Arabidopsis thaliana: one gene and its partner. The protein of the gene in region 1 interacts with the protein of each later gene in a pairwise test. Each region holds a gene or a part of one and is shown on either strand. Other genes may lie near its edges. The genes, in order: Prx37 and NAC3.

The links.
Region 2: the proteins of Prx37 (region 1) and NAC3 interact in a two-hybrid assay, tested with the Arabidopsis thaliana proteins (one large-scale study listed by BioGRID).

The regions. Positions count from the first base shown.
Region 1 is NC_003075.7:5,593,733-5,607,035, reverse strand, and holds Prx37 (Peroxidase superfamily protein), read left to right. Parts: upstream 1-6,637; 5' UTR 6,638-6,773; coding exon 6,774-6,980; intron 6,981-7,734; coding exon 7,735-7,926; intron 7,927-8,028; coding exon 8,029-8,197; intron 8,198-8,304; coding exon 8,305-8,777; 3' UTR 8,778-8,999; downstream 9,000-13,303. Other genes in the region: AT4G08780 (Peroxidase superfamily protein), read right to left, coding at 2,677-2,883.
Region 2 is NC_003074.8:5,229,542-5,241,943, forward strand, and holds NAC3 (NAC domain containing protein 3), read left to right. Parts: upstream 1-4,915; 5' UTR 4,916-5,189; coding exon 5,190-5,370; intron 5,371-5,463; coding exon 5,464-5,732; intron 5,733-5,837; coding exon 5,838-6,341; 3' UTR 6,342-6,655; downstream 6,656-12,402. Other genes in the region: AT3G15490 (Regulator of Vps4 activity in the MVB pathway protein), read left to right, coding at 244-315, 451-554, 646-1,105. UniProt on the Arabidopsis thaliana protein: Transcription factors that bind specifically to the 5'-CATGTG-3' motif.

The DNA of each region.
Region 1 (13,303 bases):
TTTTTTTGTTGATCAAAGACATCTATGTAATCTAATAATCCAAAAAAGAAAAATATGAGTTCACTATTTGTTTTTTGTGATACGAGTTCACTAATTATTATCTAATAATCGAAGAGAATTTTATCTTTGACTTTACTTTGACGACAAAATCTGACACTTGAGATAAGACAGCACTGGAATATCTATATAGAGTTGTAATAATAAAATAGTCATCTCAATTTCCGTAAGAAGTGGTTTGGTTGGTCCATAGAAAATAATAGCCACTCCAAATTGAACCAAAAAATAGTCAAAACAAACAAAATCAAACTTCCAAAAAGATAATTTATCCAAAAACGCATAAATTTTCAGATGTAGAAATAACTTTTTTTGTTACTTTGAATTTTTATTTAACTTCTGTTTTTTTTTTCCTATTGTTTTAATCAACCAAAAGAAAGCCAAAATTTCAAAACCAAACAATCAAAAGAAATCTATAGTTTTAAGTATCTTATTAAGACAAAAAGAAATCAAATATTTTTACGAAAAAATTGTGACAAAAATTATGACAGTATCGTGCGTCACGAACTGTGTCTGTTTATTCGACTATATTAACGTCGTCACAATCAATGACGAATTGTTACTGTTGTTAATCGTCTTGTGATCTTTTTAAGACCTTTATGGATTTGTGACGATTTTATTGTGACATTCTAAAATACGTTTCACTTTCGTCATAAAAAAATTATTGTGACTGAATATTGTTTTATTGTGACGATAATAACTGTATCAATATTCAGTTTTTTTATTATATAATTAATCTATCTTTATTTCAAGTTAATTAATTAATTAGACATTAAATGAACTAACCGAAATGTCTATCCTTATTTCAAGTTAACTAGATGAGTACCCGCAATACGTGCGGGCTTTCACTTTATATTTCGTAATTTAAAAGTATTTAAATGTAAGATTTTAGGTTAGTTTTTTAATAGGCAAGAAGACAAAAATCCTATTTGATACTAAGCTCCATAAATCAACATTTGTTTTTGCATTTTGCATTTAGATTCCTTACAAAATCTTTTCTCAGTAAACATTATTTTCAGAATTTTTTTTCATCTGTGTTAACCTTAAACCAAAACAATAAGACAAAATGGTAGAGGATTTGAGTCCAAGAATTTGATGATAGAATTCTCAAGTACTTCTCACCATTTTTCATATATTATATAGAAAAAGAACAAACTACAAAAACTATGAGCTAATCCACTATACAATTATTTAATCATATTTTGACTTAAAATTATAAAAATTAGGGAAAAATATCCAAGAGTATGAGAAAATCAATTAAATAATTTAATTTAAGAAAAAGATATACAAAATAAAAGAAAATTATTCTTGATACAATTAATTATGTAAAATTTTATAATATATACAATTAAATAATAAATCACCATAAACCATTAACTTACATTAATTATTAAGTGGACATTAGGCAAAAACTAAGTGATGATGTGTCATTCATATGAAGAGAGTTGACCAACTTTTATACATATGATTACACCACATATAGATAATATATAAACTTATGATCTTTATATATACAATGTTTATAATATTACCTGCGTATTTGTTATTATTAGTTAATTCGTTATTCTAAATGAACACTCATGCTACGCATGGGTTTTTGTTTTTAAAATTGTCGGAATATATGATTATAGTCTTTTGTTGATTTTGATGTTCATTTGTGTGTGTATGTTAATGTGTAATTAATAAATTCATATATATTTTATATAGTTATAATTTTCTATGATTAAATTTATCTATAATTCGAAATATCAATTTTATTATAATATAAATATTTATATACCTATTATTCAAATATTTCACTATCATGAACACACACAACAACATTATATGATATATTAATATGTAGTTATATTACTTATGTATTTTGAAACTTGCCTAACTTAATTGTAACAAACAATTTTTTATTCCATATATTCTTTTGTCATCTACTACACCAACCACATCATGATATGCTAGTAAATTAAGTCAACACTTTAATTCTCTTCCCTTTCATATAGCCATATAGAGTCTCGTGTTTTTGTGTGGGTATGTCTAATGTCTCAGATGACCACTACGTGAAAAAATTGTATATCAATGTTACGAAGTTATTAGAACGCACAAAAATAAACAGAAAGAAGGTCATATGATAAATCATAATCACATAACGTAATAATAAGAAAATATCCAACTAAAATTACTAAATTAATATGAGGTTAGGTAGCAAACATCTAAACTACAACATAAGTAAATTTTAGCCATTATGGATTAATAACTATTGATAAAAAAAATTAAAAAAATAATTAGAATAGAATGAAAGTAGTACTTTATACATTGTTATGATTTTTTATTTATTGAGTGTTTTTAGAAAATTCATTTAAGAGTGAGATTAATAGAGAATTTACACAACAAAAGACTTTTGATTTTTCCTCAATTAGTTGTACTAATTTTTTTTTTATAATTAATGTAAAATGACACATGTCATTTTCTTGTGTGATGATGTGTCACCCAAATGGAGAGAGTTGGCCAACTTTCATATATATGATTATATCCGTAAAGCATTCTCACTTTTTAGGATAAAACCATCAAAGAACCAAAAGAGTACTTAATATATACATGAATATATCGAATCTGGTGGTATCTTACATTAACAAAGCAGTCGTGGAAATGAAGACGAAGGATGCTTGCAGCGATGCGAGGGTCTGATCTCAGCGCATTGACAATGGTATTGGTTACAATATCAAAGACTTGCGGACATGTTTTATCGTAAAAGGAAGGGCTTAGTTGAGCATGAGACAATGAGACCTGAAGAAGGAGAAGAAGAAATCCCAATTTTATCAAAGAGGAATGCATTTTCTTTGCTCTCTAAGAGAATGTTTTTGGTTATGGTTAGATATGAGTGAATTTAGGTTTCTTCGTAACGATTCCTTATATAGGCAGAATAATCTAGCTTGGCGGCTTTTACTTTTGTGGATTATGAGATATTTTTATTCAAGTAGTGTATACGTTAATAGTCTATTACATATGGAATTGTACAAAGTGGTTTAAAGCATCTGTTTTTTTTCTTTCGGCTACTAGGTTTTAAAGTCTACAACACTTTAATTGTCAATGCTCAATTTGATTCCTATGCTATACAAGTGATAATTAAATTTTTCTTGGAATGTCTAATAAGAAGCATAGTAGTAACAATGTTCAAGAGTGTTTGACTTGAGAAGAAAAACATAGAGTTGTGGATGTTTTTTTTTAGTGTTAACAGGTTACTAGACCTCTTTTGTAAAACTAGGTGTTTAGAGTAAGAAATTGAGCAAAACAACATTAGTAGAAGAGAAGAATGAAGAATTGAACCGACCGTTTTTATGCAACATAGTAACAACAATGCTCTAGCTAGACGCATCATATATATGTGACTCAGGAGATGACTTGGCATTGTTTATGGTTTGATAATGATTTGACGATCGATCAATGTAGATTTTCGACATTATCTACAATTTTGGGTATGAACATGAAAAAACTTGAGTTCGGGTATGTATAGTAACGTAACGAAAGCTTATAGTTTTGGTATAATTATACCGTGATGACGAACTTGATGTTTGAAAGTGACAAACACACATAAAAAGCGGTGACTATATTCTAGCTACTCGATTTGGAATCAACGGTGTCAAGAGAGAATAGGAGATGTTTAGAGAAGGAATGAGGAGCGAAAGAGTGTGAGGAGACGACATTCCTTTGTTTTTGGCGTTATTACTATTCGAGGTAATGCTTTAATTAATGGTATATGTGGGTAAATTTAATTTTAGTATAATTTTTTGTTTTTGTTTTTTTTTCTTTGTTTTTATTTTTTGTTTTTTTTTTATCGACAATTTTATTAGTTACCATTTTCACTAGATCTGAGTAATTTGTATAGAACGTCATTTTTCGTTTGTTTTGGCCAATCATACATCTTATTACCTAGACAAATGCTTCCACTTTTGTGTGTAGACATGTGAAACTTCTACGTAGGTTGGCAACACCCATGGTTGGATGTCCGTATTTGATAATGTATAAAACCATCCCATGCGCAAAAACTTATCAGTTTCTTTACAGGAGTAATCAATGAAACAATGATATCCTGAAGGATTTATATTAACCGATTTAACTGCCATTGGCTCCAATTGAGCTAACGTCTAAACATTGGCTTCGTTTTCCGTTAATGGGAGAATGTTCCTTGGATCTCGATTAATATTCTCGTGAAGTTTTTCATTCCGTGATTTCTAAATATACCGTACGATCCAAGAAAAATTAGAACTAAAGAACCCAAAAAAAGTGTTCTCCAAAGTCAATAATTTATCTTTACATAGACCCAAGAAAATAGAAAAACTTCCGGAACTATTAGTATTGGTGATAATGCCAAGGTCTGAAATGCTGGTAGACACTCACAATTTTTTGATTAATAGTTAGTATAAATTTTTAAATTGAAAAAATGTATGAGATTTAACGTTTTGTTAATGTCTTTCAACTGTTTGGCGTATTATTCTGAAAGTGCAAGAAAAAAGATTGTGTATTTTAAAGATAATAGTTAGTATAGTTTTCATGGATTTTTCTTTTCGATACAAGGGTATATATATCATGGAATTCCAAATTTATTGTTTATATATACGTTGTAGTTGGATTCTATGTTAAATATTGTTGATAAAAAAAACGGAACAAAAAAATGCACACTGTAATAGGGTAAAAGTTAGATTATTCTAATTAGTTTAATTAGAATTACCAGAAAACACTCTATTAACATAAATCATTTACCAAAACAAAGAAAAAATGTTATTTTTTCTTCTCTTTAGTTTACGAATAATGTTTTTGTAGTGAAAGTTTCTTGTAAGTACTTTCAATTAATTAATATATCTATGATTCAACTACTAAGTACCAAATCTCACATATTACAGCAGCCCCCTTGGTTTGACGAATGATATCACTAGCAGCCTCTTTGGTTTGACTAGCACCCGGCTTGCTTTTGTCAAACCATGAAACTTTCTTTCATTTCATTATTAGTCTCGTGGGTCTCTCAACCACTCCATTGTCCTCTTTTTTTGGTTCGAATCTAGGACTTTTTGTGTCATACGACGAAGGACTTGCCACTAGGTCATCAACTTCAGTCGTCTTTTAATAATCAATATAGATGAGTTTATGTGGAAAATGCAAAAAGTTCTTAGAAAATGGGGAATTAAAAAAAACTTAGTGCTAGCACATGTTTTGTTTTTGTATTGATATGTGCTAGCACTAAGTTTTTTTTAATTCCCCATTTTCTAAGAACTTTTTGCATTTTCATCTTTACAATTTCAATTCATATTTATATTCTTGCCTAACAAAACCAATATAAGTAAAGACATGCACTTTGCTTCTTTCTATGTGTTTTCTTCACTTTTAGACACATGATTCAATTTTTTTAATAGTTAGGATGCTCAGAAACCGTTACTCGTATATCTCTCCAAGACTAAATAAAATTAACGTTCTTTTGGAGAGCAGATCCTTTCTAACGCAGATCAGTATCCTCTAAAATCTCTATATTTTCAGTAACCAAATGGTTTAACTACTAAATATCAAATATTCGTCGTGTGTTACATGACTAATTTTTAATATACCATACATAATTTTACAAGTTTATCCACTCTTTTCCTTATTTTCTACAATTCTTTTCCTTATTTTTTTGGACAAAAGACAATTATTTTCCTTCTTTTTTCCCAACAATTACTGTTAAAACAAATCACAAAAGACAAGTATACAGTAAAACCTCCATATATTAATACTCTATAAATTAATATATTTTTCCGATTCCAAATTGGGACCAATGTAAAAAGAGATACAATCGATAAATTTAATGATAATATTTTTTTTGAAAAATGCTATGTATACATATAGTACCATAATATTATAAAATAATATAAAAAAATCAAATGAAATATAATTTTTAGTAATGTTTCTTTTGCTTAAATTCATATTAGCTTTTGTTTAAATTTAATTCTAATATGTTTACTGTATCAAGTATTTTGGTGTTGTTTACTAGACATGAAAATTATTTTGTACATGTAAATGGTTCTAGAAAGATATTTTATTTAGTAAAAAAATCTTATATTTTCATTGAAAATTAAAAAAGTTATGAAATTAAGAAACTCTCTCTATAAATTAATAAATTATAACATTATTAATTTATCGATAAATTAATAGCTTTTTAAATTAATAGAATTTTGCAGTCCTAATACTATTAATTTATAGAAGTTTTACTGTATATGCACAAAAAATAATAAACATACAGTATTGGTATAGCCAAAAAAAAAAATGGATACATAATCTTACGTGAATGGCTAGATAAAAACGTCTAATTTCAATAGAAAACACTGATAAATAACCCTATTTACAGAAGAGAAAGTTTAAATGTATTTAAAGTGTGAAATAAAGAGATTCTGAATAAGAATACGCTATAATTAAAGTATTTTTAGACTTTAAAACCTAGTAGCCGAAAGAAAACAGATGCTTTTAAACCACTTTGTACAGAGTCATTCAACAAATAACAATGTCTTATTCAAAGTATAACATTCCATATGTAATATACTATTCACGGATACACAACTTGAATAAAAGTATGTCAAATAATCCACAAAAGTAAAAGCCGCCAAGCTAGAACCTTGGCCTATAAAAAGAATCGTTAAGACAAACCTACATTCACTCAAATTAAACCATAACCAAATAATTCTCTTAAAAGAGCTAAGAAAATGCATTCCTCTTTGATAAAATTGGGATTTCTTCTTCTTCTTATTCAGGTATCATTGTCTCATGCTCAACTAAGCCCTTCCTTTTACGATAAAACATGTCCGCAAGTCTTTGACATTGCAACCACTACCATTGTCAATGCTCTAAGATCGGACCCTCGCATCGCTGCAAGCATCCTTCGTCTTCATTTCCACGACTGCTTTGTTAATGTAAGATACCATTAGAATCAATATATTCATGTATATTTTAACTCTTTTGGTTCCCTATAGTGTAGCCCTAATAAAGAGCGCGAGGGAATGCTTTATGGATATTATAAACTTGAAATTAGGATATAAAAATGTGATAGACTTTTTGTTTTGTTGTTCGACTCAAATAGTTTGTTTCATGGTTTATTCATTTCAAACTGTGAAATTATTTTGGTAGTTTTGTTATTGAAATTTTGGCTTTCTTTTAGTTAGTTAAAAAATTGAAAAAAACAGGAATGAAAGAAATTTACAAAAACAATAGAAATTTACTTTTACATACAAAATTTATGTCTTTTTAGTTAAATTATTTTTTTGGAAGTTTGATTATACTTATTTTGACTAGTTTTGGTTGAATTATGGAGACTGGAGAGGCTATATATAAAATGGACCAACAACTTCTCAAAGACATTAATTTGATATTATTAGTACAAGTCTACATAGATTGTAGTGCTTTCTTATCTCGAGTTTCAGATTCTGTGTCAAAGTATGCTCGAAGATGTTTATAGTGAACTCATATTTTTTGGATTTCAAATATTCTGTCTTCGGATTCACGTGAAAAGATTATGCTATCGATAGTGTGATACATGTAGTAGTATAACTTGTTTATATTTAAATTCAAAGAATCTAAGATCAACTGTTTACGGATGTTAAGATTTTCTTTATGTAAACAATGTTGTTAGTTACTAAATGTGAAGAAAAATATTTTGTTTTGAAAAAGGGATGTGATGCATCGATATTGTTAGACAACACCACATCGTTTAGGACGGAGAAAGATGCGTTTGGGAACGCTAATTCCGCTCGAGGTTTCGATGTGATCGACAAAATGAAGGCTGCCGTGGAGAAAGCATGTCCTAAAACTGTTTCATGTGCTGATTTGCTCGCCATCGCGGCTCAAGAATCTGTCGTTTTGGTATGCATCTTTTACTATGCTATCCAAATGGTTTCTAGACCATTTTGTTTAATTTATAAGGAAGATGAGAGATAATTAGACCAAATATAATTGTTACTTTAGGCGGGAGGTCCTTCATGGAGGGTTCCAAATGGAAGAAGAGACAGCTTAAGAGGGTTCATGGATCTTGCTAATGATAACCTTCCAGCTCCATTCTTTACCCTTAACCAACTTAAGGATAGATTCAAAAACGTCGGACTCGACCGTGCTTCTGATCTCGTTGCTCTTTCTGGTACGTTATTTCGTTGGCAACATTTTCATCTATAGTTGTAGTCACTAATAACTCAATATGATTATTGGTCAAGTTTATTTATTCGTTCTATATTTTCATTTGGTTAGGTGGTCACACCTTTGGCAAAAACCAATGTCAATTCATAATGGATCGGCTTTATAACTTCAGTAACACTGGTTTACCCGACCCAACCCTTGATAAATCTTACCTCTCCACACTCAGAAAACAATGTCCACGTAATGGAAACCAGAGTGTATTGGTAGATTTTGATTTACGTACGCCAACACTCTTTGACAACAAGTATTATGTGAACCTCAAGGAGAACAAAGGACTTATCCAGAGCGACCAAGAGTTATTCTCTAGCCCTGATGCTTCAGACACTCTTCCTTTAGTCCGAGAATACGCTGATGGTCAAGGGAAATTTTTCGATGCGTTCGCGAAGGCAATGATAAGGATGAGTAGTCTTTCACCTTTAACAGGGAAACAAGGAGAAATAAGATTGAACTGTAGAGTGGTGAATTCGAAATCTAAAATCATGGATGTGGTAGAAGATGCTCTTGAATTTGCAAGCTCAATGTGAGGAAATGTTTTTCTTTAACAATAAATAAATTATCAATGTTGTCAAGATGTTATCTTTTTTTCTTACTTCCTTGTTTGTTTTGTGTTACTTATTTAAATTCTATATAACTATTAAACCTTGAATCCATAAATTATTTTTACCTATAATGAAAGAAACATTAAATTATCAATACTAAGTAATGGTCGTACGTCGATATTGTTGAACGTGGCGGATAAGTAAAACGGGTTTTACTTCTTCTTAATCTTACTTTCTCTATTGTAATATGGTTATATACCTAAATTAGTGTTTTCTCTTGAAGTTAGACATAGCTAGTGATAGCTATTCACGTAAGTTTCTATATATGTTTATGTATTCACATGAAGTTTATAAACTTATTGTACACGTTGATAAATTTCAACAATTATTGTAGAAAAAGGAAAAGAGTAATTAAGCAAATAATTAAAATCATATATATATATATATATATATATATATATATATATTATGTAGTACAAAGTAATCATGTGCATAAAAGCGAGAAAAAAAAAACACAGAGAATAAAGCGTAGGTCTTTAATCAAGTTGGATTATCCAAATCGTAAAACTATATTGGTTTTGTTAGTCAAGAATATAAAAATGAATGTGTCGAACACATACCGCTACAAAGAAAAAACAAACTATGTGCCTAAAAACATTTTGCATTGTTCACATAAACTCATATTTATCAATAAATATAAGACAACTAAAGTTGATGACCTAGTCAGTCTTTCATATGACACCAAAAGTCCCGATTCCAACTCCGATAAGATATAATAAAATGGGTTGAAGAAAGCAAACCGGGTGCAAGTCAAACCAAACATGTTGATTTACTTCGTCAAATTAAAGAGGCTGCTCACTGTGTAATATATGCAATTTCGTAGTAGTTAACAGATCCTTAATATATTAGATAATTAAAAATATAATGATTTATTTACTTCAAACACTTTATGTCGTTAGTTTTGTTATTGTTACTACAATATGTTCTGCAAAAGAAAAAGAAAACAACTCTTCAAATGTTATTTTTTTTTGTAATTGTTTACTCTTAACTAGTTTATAATAAATGCGGGTCAAACCTATGAATTCGAACTTAATTTATAATATAATTATAAATATTTTTAACAGCTTTTTTACATATACATACATTAAAATTTTCTATATTAATCTAAGAGTAATTTTAAATTTATAATCATAAAAATTCGTTTTAATATATTATTTATCAAAATTTTAAAAACTTGAAATGCGTGATAAAGAATTCTATTACGAATAAAATTCGATATTCTTGGATTGATCTACATTTTGCAAATTGAAGGTAAAATTACATAAAATGTAATTCAAAGCGTTTTTCCTTTTTCAAATAATCCTAAAATAATCTTTAAAAAAAAATAAATTTCAATCACAATTCATAACTAACAAACAATGAAAAAATAATTTCAGAAAAAACCCATTTTATAAAAATAACCCATGCACCATAATCGAGAAAGCTTCCTTGCCACAGTTCTCCAAAGCTGATGAAGCTATGGCTCGTCGACATTGGGATTCCCTGCGATACTCTCTTTTCAATTTTGTTTTCGTTTTTTTTCTTTTTATGGTAGGTTTTCCATCACTCTCAACCATCGAATGGAGATCGAGGTGAAGCTCACAGCCTCTAACGGTGGTGTGTGTGGTTGGACTGGAAGGTTTCCACCCTCTGAAAAGACTACTACTAAATCTCGGCTCCACCCGTGGGCAGATCTATTCTCGGGCTCAGCCCAAAGATCCTTGATGTCGTCTCATGTTTCAGCTCCGCTCATCGTTCTCCTACATGGCGTTGCTCCATCTCGCTTAATGTAAAGTCAAAGATTGCTCTGAATATATTCTGTTGTGTTATTCATATTGAAGGTGACGATACAAATATATATGTGTACATGTCGAGTTTAAACCTAATACACAAACTAATAAGGCTTCGTACAAGCCCATTTTCTAATCATCTTTGTTTTCCTCTAAGCCCATCTCTAATACTCCCCCTCAAGATGGACAGTGGAGATCTCGAACACCCATCTTGCCAAGTAGATACTGCAACTGTTTTCGACCAAGGGTTTTGGTAAGAAAATCGACCAATTGCTCTTTCGTACGAACATGTCGAGTAGACACAATGTCATCTTTTATCCCATCGCGAACAAAATGACAATCTCTTTCAATGTGTTTCGTACGCTCATGGAACACCGGATTGGTTGCGATGTGTAGTGCAGCCTTATTGTCACAATGAAGAATTATTGGTTCTGGATGGGGAATCTGAAAGATAAGAAGCAATTCCTTGAGCCATATGAGTTTCTGATAAGTATAAGCCATAGCTCTGTATTCGGCTTCAGCGGAAGAAAGTGACATACGTTCTTGCTTCTTTGTCTTCCAACATATAGGAGATTTTCCAAGTAAAACAACATAACCAGACAGTGAACGACGTGTTTTTGGGCACTTTTGAAAATCCGAATCACAATAGGCATTCAAATGAAGATCATCATCCTTGCTTAGCAATAAGCCTTGACCACAAGTCCCCTTTAGATATCGTACCAGACGAACAGCCGCTTCCCAATGACGTGTACGTGGTTGTCCGAGAAATTGCTTTAGAAGATGAACTACATAGCAATGGTCCGGTCGAGTAATAGCAAGATAAACCAACCGACCAACTAACCTGCGGTATTTAGTTGGGTCAGAATAGAATTCACCATCTTCTTTGGCGAGAGTATGATTCTGTTCAATGGGAGTATCAACAGGTTTAGCTCCTAGCAGCCCGCATTCAAATATAATATCTAAGGTATATTTGCGTTGCGAAATGTATATCCCTTGTTTTCCTCTAGAAACTTTGATCCGAGAAAGAATTTTAAAGGACCTAAATCTTTCATGTGAAAACATTCACTCATATACCTTTTAAACTCCGTAGTTAAGTTGGAATCATTGCCTCCAACGATGAAATAATCCACATATACTAAGATATACAAGCACGAGTTCCCATTGAAGTATGTGAAAAATGAGTAATCCGTGTAGTTCTGCACAAACCCGAATTCTATAAATGCATTTGAGAGCTTTGAAAACCAACATCTTGGAGCTTGTTTGAGCCCATAAAGCGACTTTTTGAGCTTACACACTTGTGAAGGATCCACATTTTCAACACCCGAAGGAAGCTTCATGTATATCTTTTCCTCTAGATCCCCATGTAAAAACGCATTATGAACATCCATTTGAAATAATTCCCAATTTCGAGCAGAAGCAACTTTCAAGAGTGTACGAATTGTCGTCATCTTTACTATGGAGCAAAAGTTTTGTTATAATATGTTCCTTCCTCTTGTCTATTCCCAAGTGCAACAAGACGAGCTTTGAACCTTTCTATGGATCCATCAGAGTTGTACTTAATTCGGAAAACCCACTTGCAACCTATAGCATGTTTGCCTTCCGGTAACGACATTATATCCCACGTTTGGTTCTTTTCAAGAGCCCCAACCTCTCCTTTAACTGTATTAGTCCATCGCGGATCACTCATCACTTATTTAAAGGAAGTTGGTTATGAATTAGCGCTTATTGCAGCTAGGAACATTTGCTGAGGAGGGGAGAACCGATCAATTGATACATAATCAGTGAGAGGATAGAGACACTTACTTGAGGAGATTTGAATGGAGGCAGTTGAAGTGTGAGGGGGTTTATCAAGTTGTGTTCCCGAATATGTGACATATGGCTCTAGAAGTACGAGCCTCATCCTCTTTCTTTTACCAACCCCAAGTTCTTCAAAGTTAGATTCTGCACTTGTTTATGTTTTTTTAGGTATCGAGTCACTCGATTCAGCCTGATCGATTGATCTGGAGTCAGGATCGATAGATCCATCTCTATCTGGAATGTTTGCATCGATTGATCAATCTTCTGGATCGATCGATCGGTTTTTGTCTGAAACTTTTTCTTTTGTTAGATCGATCACGCTAACTTCTGGATCGATCGGTTGATTCTCTTCTGTAACTTGACTTGATCTCGGATCGAGCAGGCTTGCATCTGGATCGATCGAGCTTGTATCTGGGAGTAAAAGAAACTCACCCTGTCGACTAGCGATAGTCGAATTTGGACTGTTATAATCATCTTCTCTTGCTAGAGCACTCTCAGAGTAAGGAAAACATTCCTCCTCGAAAGCAACATCTCGGGAAACAAAAATTCTTTCAGTTTGAAAATCCATCACTAACCATCCTTTCTTTCGAAATTGATATCCAAGAAAAAGACATCGAGCACTGCGATCTTCAAATTTGTCATTCGAACGTCTTACTAGCTTTGCATAGCAAAGGCACCCAAATATCCTTATATCATCATAAGAAGGAGGATTCTGAAATAATACTTCGTATGGTGTTTTCCCTTTAAGTAGGATTGAAGGCGTTCGGTTGATCAAATGAGTAGCAGCTTGATTGCTTTCTCCCCAAAAACGAGTTGGAAGCTTTGCTTGAAACAACAATGCTCGAGCAACATTCAGTATATGTTAATGTTTCCTCTCGACTCTCC
Region 2 (12,402 bases), on another chromosome or scaffold:
TGCCAAGAAACCAGAATCAAAGTTTGGGTGCTTTTTTAACATATTTGGTGTTCTTCGGTCTCGTTCTTCAAGATGGCGAAAAGCTTCGAAGTGGTAAGAATCTTGGTTTACTTGCTTTACACGGTTAAGATTTCGTTTTTGTTTCGAGTTTTTTTTAATTAATTAATCTGTCTTGTTTGCAGCAAACTCTATATCCAAAATCTGTTATGTTCTGTTAACTTACATCGGAATAGAAGAGAGTGTATGGTCAGACAATCACGGTCCGATATCGCTCAGCTCCTTTCTTATGGTCGCTATTCAGAAGCTCTTCCTAAGGTATCTGAGATTAATCTCAATCACCTGGTAGATTTTTGCTTATTTGATCAAAATCTCTATCACATCACTTAATTTGTTGGTTATTATCCCTTGATTCATCTTTCTTATTCTGATTTGCAAATTTTAAAACTCTAGGCGAAGCAATTCTATGAAGATGAGAGAAGGTTATCGGCATATGATCAGGTTGAGCTCTTCTGCACAACCATCTTGCAGAATATATCTTCTTTGAAATATGAAAAGTAAGTTGTTATTGATATCTTGTAACATACGGTAGCATAAGGAAACCAAAACGGTTCGTAAACCCTAATTTCCGCATGTTTCTCTCGCCAGCAATGTTGATCTGTTACCGGAAGAAACTAAAAAAGCAATGGCCGGAATTATATTTGCTGCATCAAGAATTGGCGAGCTTGAGGATCTTCAACACATAAGGAGCTTCTTCGTTCAAAGATTTGGGCTTAAGTTTGATAAAGAGTGTGTAGATTTGCGCCAAGGAAACGTCGTGGGTTTTGAGATAGTCAAGATTCTAAACACGAATATGCGGGGAGATGAAATTACACATATTGTAAGGGAACTTTCTCATAAGTACAAAACCAACATCACTACTTCTACGGATTCAATAAGTGAAGATTTGGCTTCAAGTGACGATCTCGGCATTGCCGATTCTGATGCGATGAAGGTTGAGAAAATGAAAAGGGCTCTTCGGAGAAAGAAAGTTATGAAGGAGAATTCTAAGTTTTTGCATCCAAATCTTAGAGAGTCTCAGGGAAGAGATCGATCATTCAGAAGATAAGAGTTTGATTGGGATTGTTATTTGGTTAAAAATTAAAATCTTATTACTGTAAAAGAAGGAAGAAAAAAAACGCAGCATATACAATTTTTGTTATATTTTCATAGTATACAGTATTTGATTATTTTCTAATTTTAATGTCAATAAATATCATTATTTTATTTATGCCTTCCTAGAATACTTCTCTCTTGATGCAAATTTTATAACAATGATGCCAAAACATCACATAACATTATAATGCTTTCAGTTTTGTAAATATGATTTTTGAAAATTTATGTTCATTAATGATATGTAACTTCTCACAATAAAAGTCTAATATCCTAATTTAGTTTTTTTTTTTTTAATGAATCATGATCTATAGTATTAAATATAAACATAAAAATATTTAGTTCAATATAAGTGAAAGATATCAAAGGAATATTTTGTAACAGAATTTATCTTTTTGGGTTTGTATTCTTACCCGTAGATTATTTCAATTTTTTATATAAAAAAAAAAAAAAATATGGGTGAAAAATTGATTCAAGAAACAGTTACCAAAGAATTTCATATTTTCACACCAGATTTGAGACTTATTTATCAGCGAATATAAATTGTTTCGTCGTGCTAAAAGTAAAATTATCTAATGTGAAAATGGTACATGTGAAACACCGTCGTGTGTAAAACAATTCGATGCTTGGAAATGGTACTCTCGCTAAATTTAGTGGGTCTCCAAAATTCCATGCGACGACTTAGTTATTTACATAACACTATGAATGGGCTATGCAGTATTTGTTGAGATTGAGATATAATCGTTTTTGCTCTCATTTCATCACATACTCAACTGAATTAGTTCATATGATACTACATCTAGAAGATTATTGGGTAGTTTTCGGTTCAGAATTGCATGAATTCAAGAGATTTAGGACTCCGTATCTGGTACAAGCTTAAATGAACCTATTTCAAACAATAAAAATTAGTGGGCCTGAAACTTTGTTGGGCTTAAAAAATCCTACATACTTTATCGGCTGTAGAAATATATCGATACCTAAACACTAAACAGACCAATATCAATAACAGACCTACTAAACGACTTTGTTCATGTTTAGCGTTTATAAAAAAAGTTAAAAATGTTGGCAACAACATCATCCGATCCATATACTCTTATCAGGAACGGAAAACAAAAAGGTCAATAACAAATAAAAAAATATAATTGGCCATAAGTAGTGAATAGTGATTAAATATGATTTATCCTACAATTATTCGTTAATAACTAACTAAAAATATATTTTCTTATACCAAAGAAAACTATACAAACTACTTAAATCAAACTTGTAAGATAAGATATAGTTGGATGAAGTGGGGGTTTGATCTACGATGGTCATCTTCATTGTTTGATTCCCCCTTTTTCGTTTCTATTCTATTTTAAGAATATGAAAAGACGTATAATATGCACAAGTTGGAGAGAATATTTATCAGCTTTTCAGAGTTTAGTATACTATATATGATCTTATCGAAATTTATACCTTTTCTATATATATATATATATATTAAATCGAAACTTTCTTTGTTATCAGTAGCTTAATGTTTAGAAATATTCTTATTATAGTGTTTGATTAAATATGTTTCTAGAATCGAAAAAAATAAAAAGAAATCATTATATTAAATTACGATAAAAAAAGAAAAATTAATTTAATAAAAAAGGGAAACATTATTTCATTTAACTAGCTAGTATTTTAACAAACAACTAAATAGTTGTAATTTATTGTCATAATATATATATTCTGAATAAGAAAAATCCACATATGTAGCAAATGTATTATACATGTGTATGACAAAAGTTTTACAAAATGGTTGAACTTAAAAAAAAAATATGTCTTAAACATACGTAAGACTACACGTAATATCAAAATTAACATGCTTAGACATAGTAATTATAAAGCTTTATGTAAAGCAAGACTGATTCTATTAATTAATTGATGGATCAACACTTTTAGCAATTGGGGATATTGTACTATTTACTGGATTATGCTTGTGGAGGGAGCTCATGGTGCTCCAGATTATCAAATTTTATATATGGTAGAAAAATAATTATACCATTACAATGTAAAGCATTCGAGTTCGAATTTCATTGGCGCACTTTGATTTTATATAGGAAGATTGAGGTTAAGTTGTAATAAGTGTGATATTCATATTATTATTGGAAGTTTATTGGTTTAGCCATATGGTTTATTCAGCAAACCATTAACTAAACTCACATGTCAAAAGTTGAAACTTATACCACCTTGATATCCACGTCATCAATTCTTAATACACTTTTGTATTTTGACCCAAATTTACGGGGTTACACGTTATGTAATTATGATATATGCATGACATACACGTTATGATATATGCATGACATCGCTAAAATAGCATAATGTTAATTAGTTATCTAAAACTAAAGACCTGTGTGTGGATATTATCTTCCAACATTAACAAAAAAATCCCGAAAAGGAGAAGAACAAAAGCTTTTAAAAAAACTTTGATCACCCCGTTCTATACCAATTGATGTATCTTTAATGGAAGAGAACCATTATAAATAGAAACGAATTAACACCAAATGCACCGTGACACGAAAGATATTGAGTGTAAGAAACCCCAAATTCCTTGTTATATTCGCTTAGAATTATTTTTACAGCACCATGTACATGTGATCACAAGATATCAATTAAAGTTAGCTAATTAACTTTATTTTTCATTTTTTGGGCTACTAGTTTGCTAATTAACTTTTTACCGAGAAAAAACTATCAGTAGAAAGCCAAAAAATTCAATGAATAAGAAAAAAAAAAAAAAAGCCTAAACTTACATACATATATGATATATCTACGATAAATTTGCTGATAAACGATCTGACTTCTAACTAAGATTCCTGTTTTACCTATTTTAAAAAAAAATCGAGAACCATGAATCAAAGCTCAACTATGTTAATCATGATTGAAATCACGTACGTTCTCGAATGCTTAAATAAATATGTTAATCAATAAACCGCCATAAATTGGTTAAATATAAATCTACTTGCAAGAAAATTGTAATTGAACTTTATTTTCAATTGGTAAAATGTTCCTTTTTCACGTACACAAAAAAGTGTTTGAAGAGAAGCGTGTTTGTGTTATACGGACTTACGAAAATCTTGTGTTCCCATTTCTCAACCACAAAAGCCTAATTTCTTGGTACCTCTGATTGTATACTATCGTTTCACAATTACAGTTTCATCTGATTTCAATCAAAAATTACAGTCTCATATGGATCAAATAGAAAAATAACGAGAGTCTGCATCATCAACTCGTGTTTGTTGTTTGTCCCTCTCTCTGATCTTTAACGGCTTTTGACGAAAGAAAAATATCCCGCCTAACTCAACCAATAGACACAAGACATGTGTCGGCTTGTGGTAGTTCTATCCGTATGAAAAACGCTTTCCATGTTACCATCCAGTGAACTCATCCCATCATTCACTTACACGTGTTTTTTCTTCTTGACGACCAAAAAAAAACAATTTGGCACATACCCATTAAAAAAAAAATACTTCTTATTTTTCATAATACTTTTCGTAGATTGTCACTGTTATGTAACTCATTCATAGAAATTTACCGCGTAAATTGCATGAAAAATCACTAGTCTTAAGAATCACCTAATTTGTTTTTCTGAACTTACAAATATTCGCAAATTACTTTCAGTTAACTCCCTAATACTTGGGAAGACCATTGACAATACAAAAAAAAAATCATAAGAGGAGGTACAGTCACACACACAATATTACAACATTACTAATATAAATAATCAACTTTATGGTATAGGTTCAAAGAACCAAAGGGATCGCATAAATCACGACGCTCTAATTGATCCACGTGTCATGATAAACATAAAGTGGGACCCGTATTGAGGCTGCACGTTAACGAAGATTGGGCGGCGGTGTAATATTATATTATATATATACATACACGAGTAGCAGAGCTTCGAAATCTTTAATCTCAGAATACAAAAAAGAAAATCAAAGAAGATAGTTTTGTGATTGTTTTCTATAAAAAGTGCAGATATTTTCTTTGTCCTAGAGAAAGAGGTGATAGGAAAAATGGGTCTCCAAGAGCTTGACCCGTTAGCCCAATTGAGCTTACCGCCGGGTTTTCGGTTTTATCCGACTGACGAAGAGCTGATGGTTGAATATCTCTGTAGAAAAGCCGCCGGTCACGACTTCTCTCTCCAGCTCATAGCTGAAATCGATCTCTACAAGTTTGATCCATGGGTTTTACCAAGTACGTATAACCTAATAACCTTAACCGTGTTTGGTTTCTTTGTAGCTAGTTATGTTTTTTTCTCTTCTAACTTGTCTTTTTGGTTCTTTGTAGGTAAGGCGTTATTCGGTGAAAAAGAATGGTATTTTTTCAGCCCGAGGGATAGGAAGTATCCAAACGGGTCAAGACCTAATCGGGTTGCCGGGTCGGGTTATTGGAAAGCCACCGGTACGGATAAAGTTATCTCGACGGAGGGAAGAAGAGTTGGTATCAAGAAAGCTTTGGTGTTTTACATTGGAAAAGCTCCAAAAGGAACCAAAACCAATTGGATTATGCATGAGTACCGTCTCATCGAACCCTCTCGTCGAAATGGAAGCACCAAGGTATAAATTTAGTTAAATACATGATGTATCCAAAAAGATAAGTATATAGTAATTGTAATTATACTGTTCAACGAATAACATATTTTAAACTGTTTTTATGTTCAGCTTGATGATTGGGTTTTATGTCGAATATACAAAAAGCAAACAAGCGCACAAAAACAAGCTTACAATAATCTAATGACGAGTGGTCGTGAATACAGCAACAATGGTTCGTCGACATCTTCTTCGTCTCATCAATACGACGACGTTCTCGAGTCGTTGCATGAGATTGACAACAGAAGTTTGGGGTTTGCCGCCGGTTCATCAAACGCGCTGCCTCATAGTCATAGACCGGTTTTAACCAATCATAAAACCGGGTTTCAGGGTTTAGCCAGGGAGCCAAGTTTTGATTGGGCGAATTTGATTGGACAGAACTCGGTCCCGGAACTCGGACTGAGTCATAACGTTCCGAGTATTCGTTACGGTGACGGTGGAACGCAGCAACAAACTGAGGGGATTCCTCGGTTTAATAATAACTCGGACGTCTCGGCTAATCAGGGTTTTAGTGTTGACCCGGTTAACGGATTTGGGTACTCGGGTCAACAATCTAGTGGGTTCGGGTTTATTTGATTGTGTAATGGTAACGTAATAAGAAAAACATATTTTTATTTTTTGTCCGTGTCAGATTAGTTAATTAATATAGCGTAGAATTCGAACTCTAGGGTTAGATTTAGGTTCTACGACTTGTATTGTATATTCGTCGTCATTTGTCCTGACATTTACATTTTTGTAAACTTTTATAGCTGGAACTTTTGTATTGATCAATTATTTATTAGAAAAACAGATATTGCATTGGATCTATAAGTTTTGTACTTGCTATTGCTAACGATAAACGATAGAAATGTGAAAGTTTCCTTATCATTCATGACACATTTTTGTGTCAACATCATGTAGTATTATCATTAACAACGAATCAGCGATTCATAATTTATTATATTAATCGCCATAATATATCGATAATCTAGGAACCATAAAGCGAATATGACTTTGCTCGCTATCGCTCATCGTTTAATATTAGTACCAGCTAAAACGAACAATAGATTTGTCATCATCTTTCGCTGATGACGGTAACCATATCATAGCGAACATGACCAAAAATGTATGTTTATCTGAGATGATTTCTAGCCTATAGCACTAGTATACTTTTGTAAAATATAAAAATACTATTTATATAAACACATGTGGCATAAAGAAATTTCGCACGCGATAGTTGTGTATATATTCATTTATGTGCAATGGCATTTGCAAGCCGTAAGGTTTGAAATAGTAATATTGTACAGCTGTTTAAAGAACGTTCAAAATTTGTTAGAGAAATTGATATATATATATTTAAAAGGATATGGATAAAGATGTTATATTGTTTAATGGGAAAAGGATAGTGATGGTATTAGATGGCCAAATCTTAAAGACCAATTGGGGTTTGAAGATAAGAACAGAGAACGGACCGTTTGGGGTTTCCTGAAATTGCACGTGTGAGTCAGCATGGGCTGCTTGTTTGACTAGTTTAGAATCATTTCTTTCCTAAAATAGTAACAATTCACACCGTACAAGTTTTAAACACATCTACGCTTTTTGTTCGTATAAGTAGATTTTCATAATCAAAATTTAAATAGATTTTATCTGATTAACTAATTAGATAAATGTTGTGAAAAATAATTTTTACACCGAAATTAGCTAGGGAGTTTTTCTTTCTAGTCTACATGAATATCCATTACATTGAAATTTAAAGAGTTTATGGAATTTAAAGAATTGGCTATAACTTACGTCTTATTATATTTATTTTCTAAATCACTTAAAACCCTAATAATCGAATTAAGAGAAATCATTGGGCGATTGTTAGTTACTTTTGTCAAACCAATTCTTTGTTCTCTTTGTTTACATTGAAATCTTTTGTCTTCTTAAATAATCCAAAAATAAAATAAATAAAAACACTGTCTTCTTCTTACAAAAACTTTTGGCTACTCAAACAACTTGCGAAACTATAATTTTCTTTCTGTATCTTAAAATCGCAGAAAAACGAGAGATGGAAATGAGTTTGTTAAATATATATTTTCGTTTAAAGTTTGATAATTAAGGTGGCTGGATGTGAAAATATTTCAATTTAAAAAGAAGAAAATATTAATGTTCTACATGTAAATTTTGTTGGACGAAGCTCTACGCAACCCCTTAGAATAGCATATTCTATCGTAAATACATGAAAACGAAGGTTTTGAGTTTAATACTTTGTAACCATTTTGCATAGAAATACTTGTGGTCCATATTCATCAAGATGTTATTGTACGCTAAAGTCTAAACAAATAACCATTCATTCGTCCATATGTGATTAATCAGTAAACGAATACAGGCGCGTACGCAATTACGCATGGCATGGGGTTTAGTGATGTATATTAGTACTTTATTTTTTGCCATGCATCTATTGTAAAAAGTCAAAACATGAAATTAATATAAATCATTTGTTTATATTTTGTTCTTACGCGTAATAACAAATGATTTATACAATAATTTATGATTTTTGGTAGTTTATAACTGGAAGATTCCAAACCAAAATCTAAATTAACGTGTTATTCAAAGAAATGAAAATTTGTCCATATGGTAATTAATGTTTTATATAGGACTTGAGTATGTGTTGGGCCATACGCAAAAAGTGGATTCAGTTAGGCCTATGTATTTCTTTAACAATGGGCCTGAGTATTGGAAACGCAAATTATATATGTATCCAATTATATTTTTGTTAAAGAACGCAAATTATCTTGATCGTGATTATTTTCGTACTGACCGAGACTTGAGAAATCAGACTATTTTCTTTGACAACTTATATTTTAAACAAAAATAAACGTACATAGATACAAAAAAATCCTTGAGTATAACCTTTTTTTTTTCCTTGACTACAACTTTAATGAAAAATAAATCTAAAAACTCAAAAGGCTGAACAAAATGAGATGATGATTATCAGGTACTGTGTATATAAGTGCATAATATTTTGTTATAAAAATTTCGACTCCAAATATATTTTCGAAATAAAATTCAAAAGTGCTTTATAAAAGAACAAAGTTTTTCATTTTTCGCGACCTCAATTGTTCTATGGAGAAAGTTTTTTTTATTGGAGAAAATTTAAAGCTTCATCCATTATTAGTAAACTGGTTATAATTGATGTCAAACGAGTGCAACCGTAAATATAATATCTACGAGTGATTTCAGACTAAGCAATCAGTCTTTAAATATCTCACACATGCAAGTAATGCAATATCTTATAGTATCTAACAATGACATCTGCGATATAAAATACATTTAACCTAGACAAACTTTTTGTTGCTGGGTGATTCTACCGTTGCTTGTGTGACCTTCCGGGGCGTTGAGAAGGTAACAAAGTATATTTAACGAAGCAGACAATTGAGGAGGTCCTTAATCACTTTCCATTTTAAGCTTAAAGACAAAGATTAGAAAGAAAAAATAAAGCAAAGTCTCAGCAGAATCATGTCTTAATCTACTTGATTGATTCTTTCATCAGGCATAATTAATCATGGCCATTAATATCTCTAGATCATATCTCTAAGGAATACTTACGTATAACTTACGTTAAGTTGTACGTATTAGACATGACTAGTTTTCAGAAGATATCAGTAAAAAACATGTGATTTGAAAACTGATTTATATCATTTTGATTACAGATTAAAACTATGATTCCAACTAAGAAAAAGCATAAATTTCGAAAATTGTTTGAAAAATAGTTAACAACAACTTCATAAATAAATTATAAGCATATATATACATAACAACTTAACAAGATGTATATGGTTATAGGGAAAATATAGCTATGTATTTATACATCTTTTTTACATGTCAAAAATATATGGACCGAGTTGGAATTTTTTGGTGAAAAGGGATGGCCAAATAATTATCTAATCAAACATTGGGGCACACAAGATTTTTTAGTTAATTTCATTTTTTCATTTCATTCTTTGTATGCAATTAAAACGAACACATGTGACATGTGAATATGTGATATACCAATTACTTAATATTTCGGCTTTAAAAAGAAAAAAAAAAACGAACAAATCGGACACTGATTTGTTTGAACGGTGCGTACGTGGTGGGATGATGAAGAATTTGATCTTCCATATCGCAAGCTCATAAGATTCTCGCAGTAGTGTTTTTATTACGTGTTCTTTATTTTTTTGTTTAGAACTTGATTACTTAAATCAATCTCCAAGTTTCTTAATTATGTTAATTCTTCGTTTTTTGGATTCTTGCTATAACTTATCTACGTCAAAATTTTGTCCAATTTTACAGAAAAATCACAAAATTAGCATTTTAACACACACACACATACATATATTTAATTGGAAAAAATAGAACTAACAGCATTTTCTTCGTGAAACAAATACAGGAGCACGCATTCAAAAAATTAAAAGGGTCATGCAAAAAGAGCTTTTCTCAAATCCGTTTTGTATATAAGAAATAAGAAAAGAAAATTGTAGCTTTGTTTGATGTCATAAGATTCATGTGTTCTCTTTAATATTATTCTCAACTCTTGGAAATTTGACTAATTAATATGTAAGTTGCACAAAATAATGTAATTATAAGATCAATTCAGAGTTCAGACCAAATGTTTTGTAAGATGTCTCGAAATCTTATACTATATATCCACCATTTTTTATATATATCTTCCCCAAAGGAGTATATTATGTTCACAGCCGATGAATTCGTTATATCCGGGAAAGACCCAAATCAGTTCGAAAGCATATTCTTTTGAAAAAAAGGTTCAAATTAAACACGTTGAAAAATAGAACAGTTTAATTATCCGAGTTAGTTTCTAAAAGGCATGTGTCTTAAAACTTAAATTGAGTGATCACTAACTAACAACCTAATTTGTAACTAAATTTACATTTATTTCATTTAAATAAATTTATCGATGGAATCATAAACGTCTACACATCATATTGGCTTCTGTTTCAGATATCATATAAATCAATAAATCTGAATCTAATGGATGCTTGAAATGAAATAGCACTTTTTTTTTTTGAGCTAAAGAATTTTTTTTGTCAAAATGTTTGACAATCGTCCGATGTTTGGCATGTCACGTTACATAAGACCGTGTAATATGATGTTTAACTTGGCTTAGATATTTTTCTAAATAGAATAAAAGTGTGGTATCACATGATGAAAACTATGGTTACAAATGTTCACACACTGGATTATTTGAAAGTAGGTCGTTTTTTCTGCATAAAGATTTTTTATGAGGAAAGTTTTAAATACAATAAAAAGTTTGAAGTTAGGTTTACTATTATTAAACACCTTGTATGTAGTAGAGTGAAATTTACCAACCTGCTAACATATGTAATATACATGATACATGATACATGCCACGCATGTTTTTGTTATACAATATGCATAATAGTCATATATTAAATGTTTGATTCTTCACATTAAAACCAAAAAAAAATATATATTAAATGTTTGAATTGCCCTGGCATCCCACTTGCTTTAGCTTGGGACTTGTTTAGAGAGTTATAATTAAAATCCAGATTATCGAAATTGTCTTCTTATTTCAAATTTAAAACTAGTTGGTAATTAGTTGATTGGCATGCAGATCTTAGTTAGTAGTGTTGGTACTTTTCCATTGCGCCTAGTCCAAAAAAGATTGTTTTTTTTTCCAATACATATTATTACTGATTTCATATTAAATTTGAAAATTAAAACATTGAAAAGTCGAGTTTACGACCAAAACACTTTGAACGACATTTGGATTGAAGCAAATAATGATATTCTAGTGGTCATCATCATATTGGTCCATATCAATGATATTTTTTTGATAGAAACACCTTTTTACTACTGTAAAATGTGTGAATACTCACAACGTACTAAAAATTATAGGTTCGACGATCTAATTCTTCCCCAAAACTTTCATATAGCACTAGAAGTTTGAAAACTCTTGGTTAAAGAAAATAAAATGGTACTTTCAACAGTTACAAGTGTCTGTATATAATATAATATATTCAATTTATACGTAGTCCAGTTGTGATTGCACGATAACACCGTTATATATTTGGTATCTTTATCAATCAAGATTGTTATATGTTGATTTTTCAAACTAAACCATAATAATATTGACATACGGGATAAGCCCACTATTCAGTACCCACGTTATGTTGAAGATAACACTTACAAATAGGGGTCCCTAACAAATAGTTTAGAGTGTATATATTTGGTAAGAAAACTATTTTAATTATAGAACTCTTAAGTTTTGTAATATATCAAAAAATTGTGCGTGTTTGTGTTGTTGTTGAGATTCTGAACGTCTAGCAAAAAAGAAGTGGTGTGCAACCATGTAAAGCACTAGAAATCTTTGTGAATGCAAATAGAAGGATGTCTCTTGATCTGATGGATGTGACTAAAAAATGATGTAATTAAATTGACTAATTAGAGGTAAGCATTTATTTTAGTTGGTACAACGTGTGTAAAATATGGTCCACATTTCTCCTTTTTTTTTTTTTCTTTTTTTCTTTTTACTACTTTTTCTATTTGTTTTTCAAACAAAGTGCTCTAAACTGACAAAACTGGAGAAATAGTAGGCTGTATTTGATTTTGTGAACCAACCAAAAAACCTTTGTATTTGATTTATAATATTGTG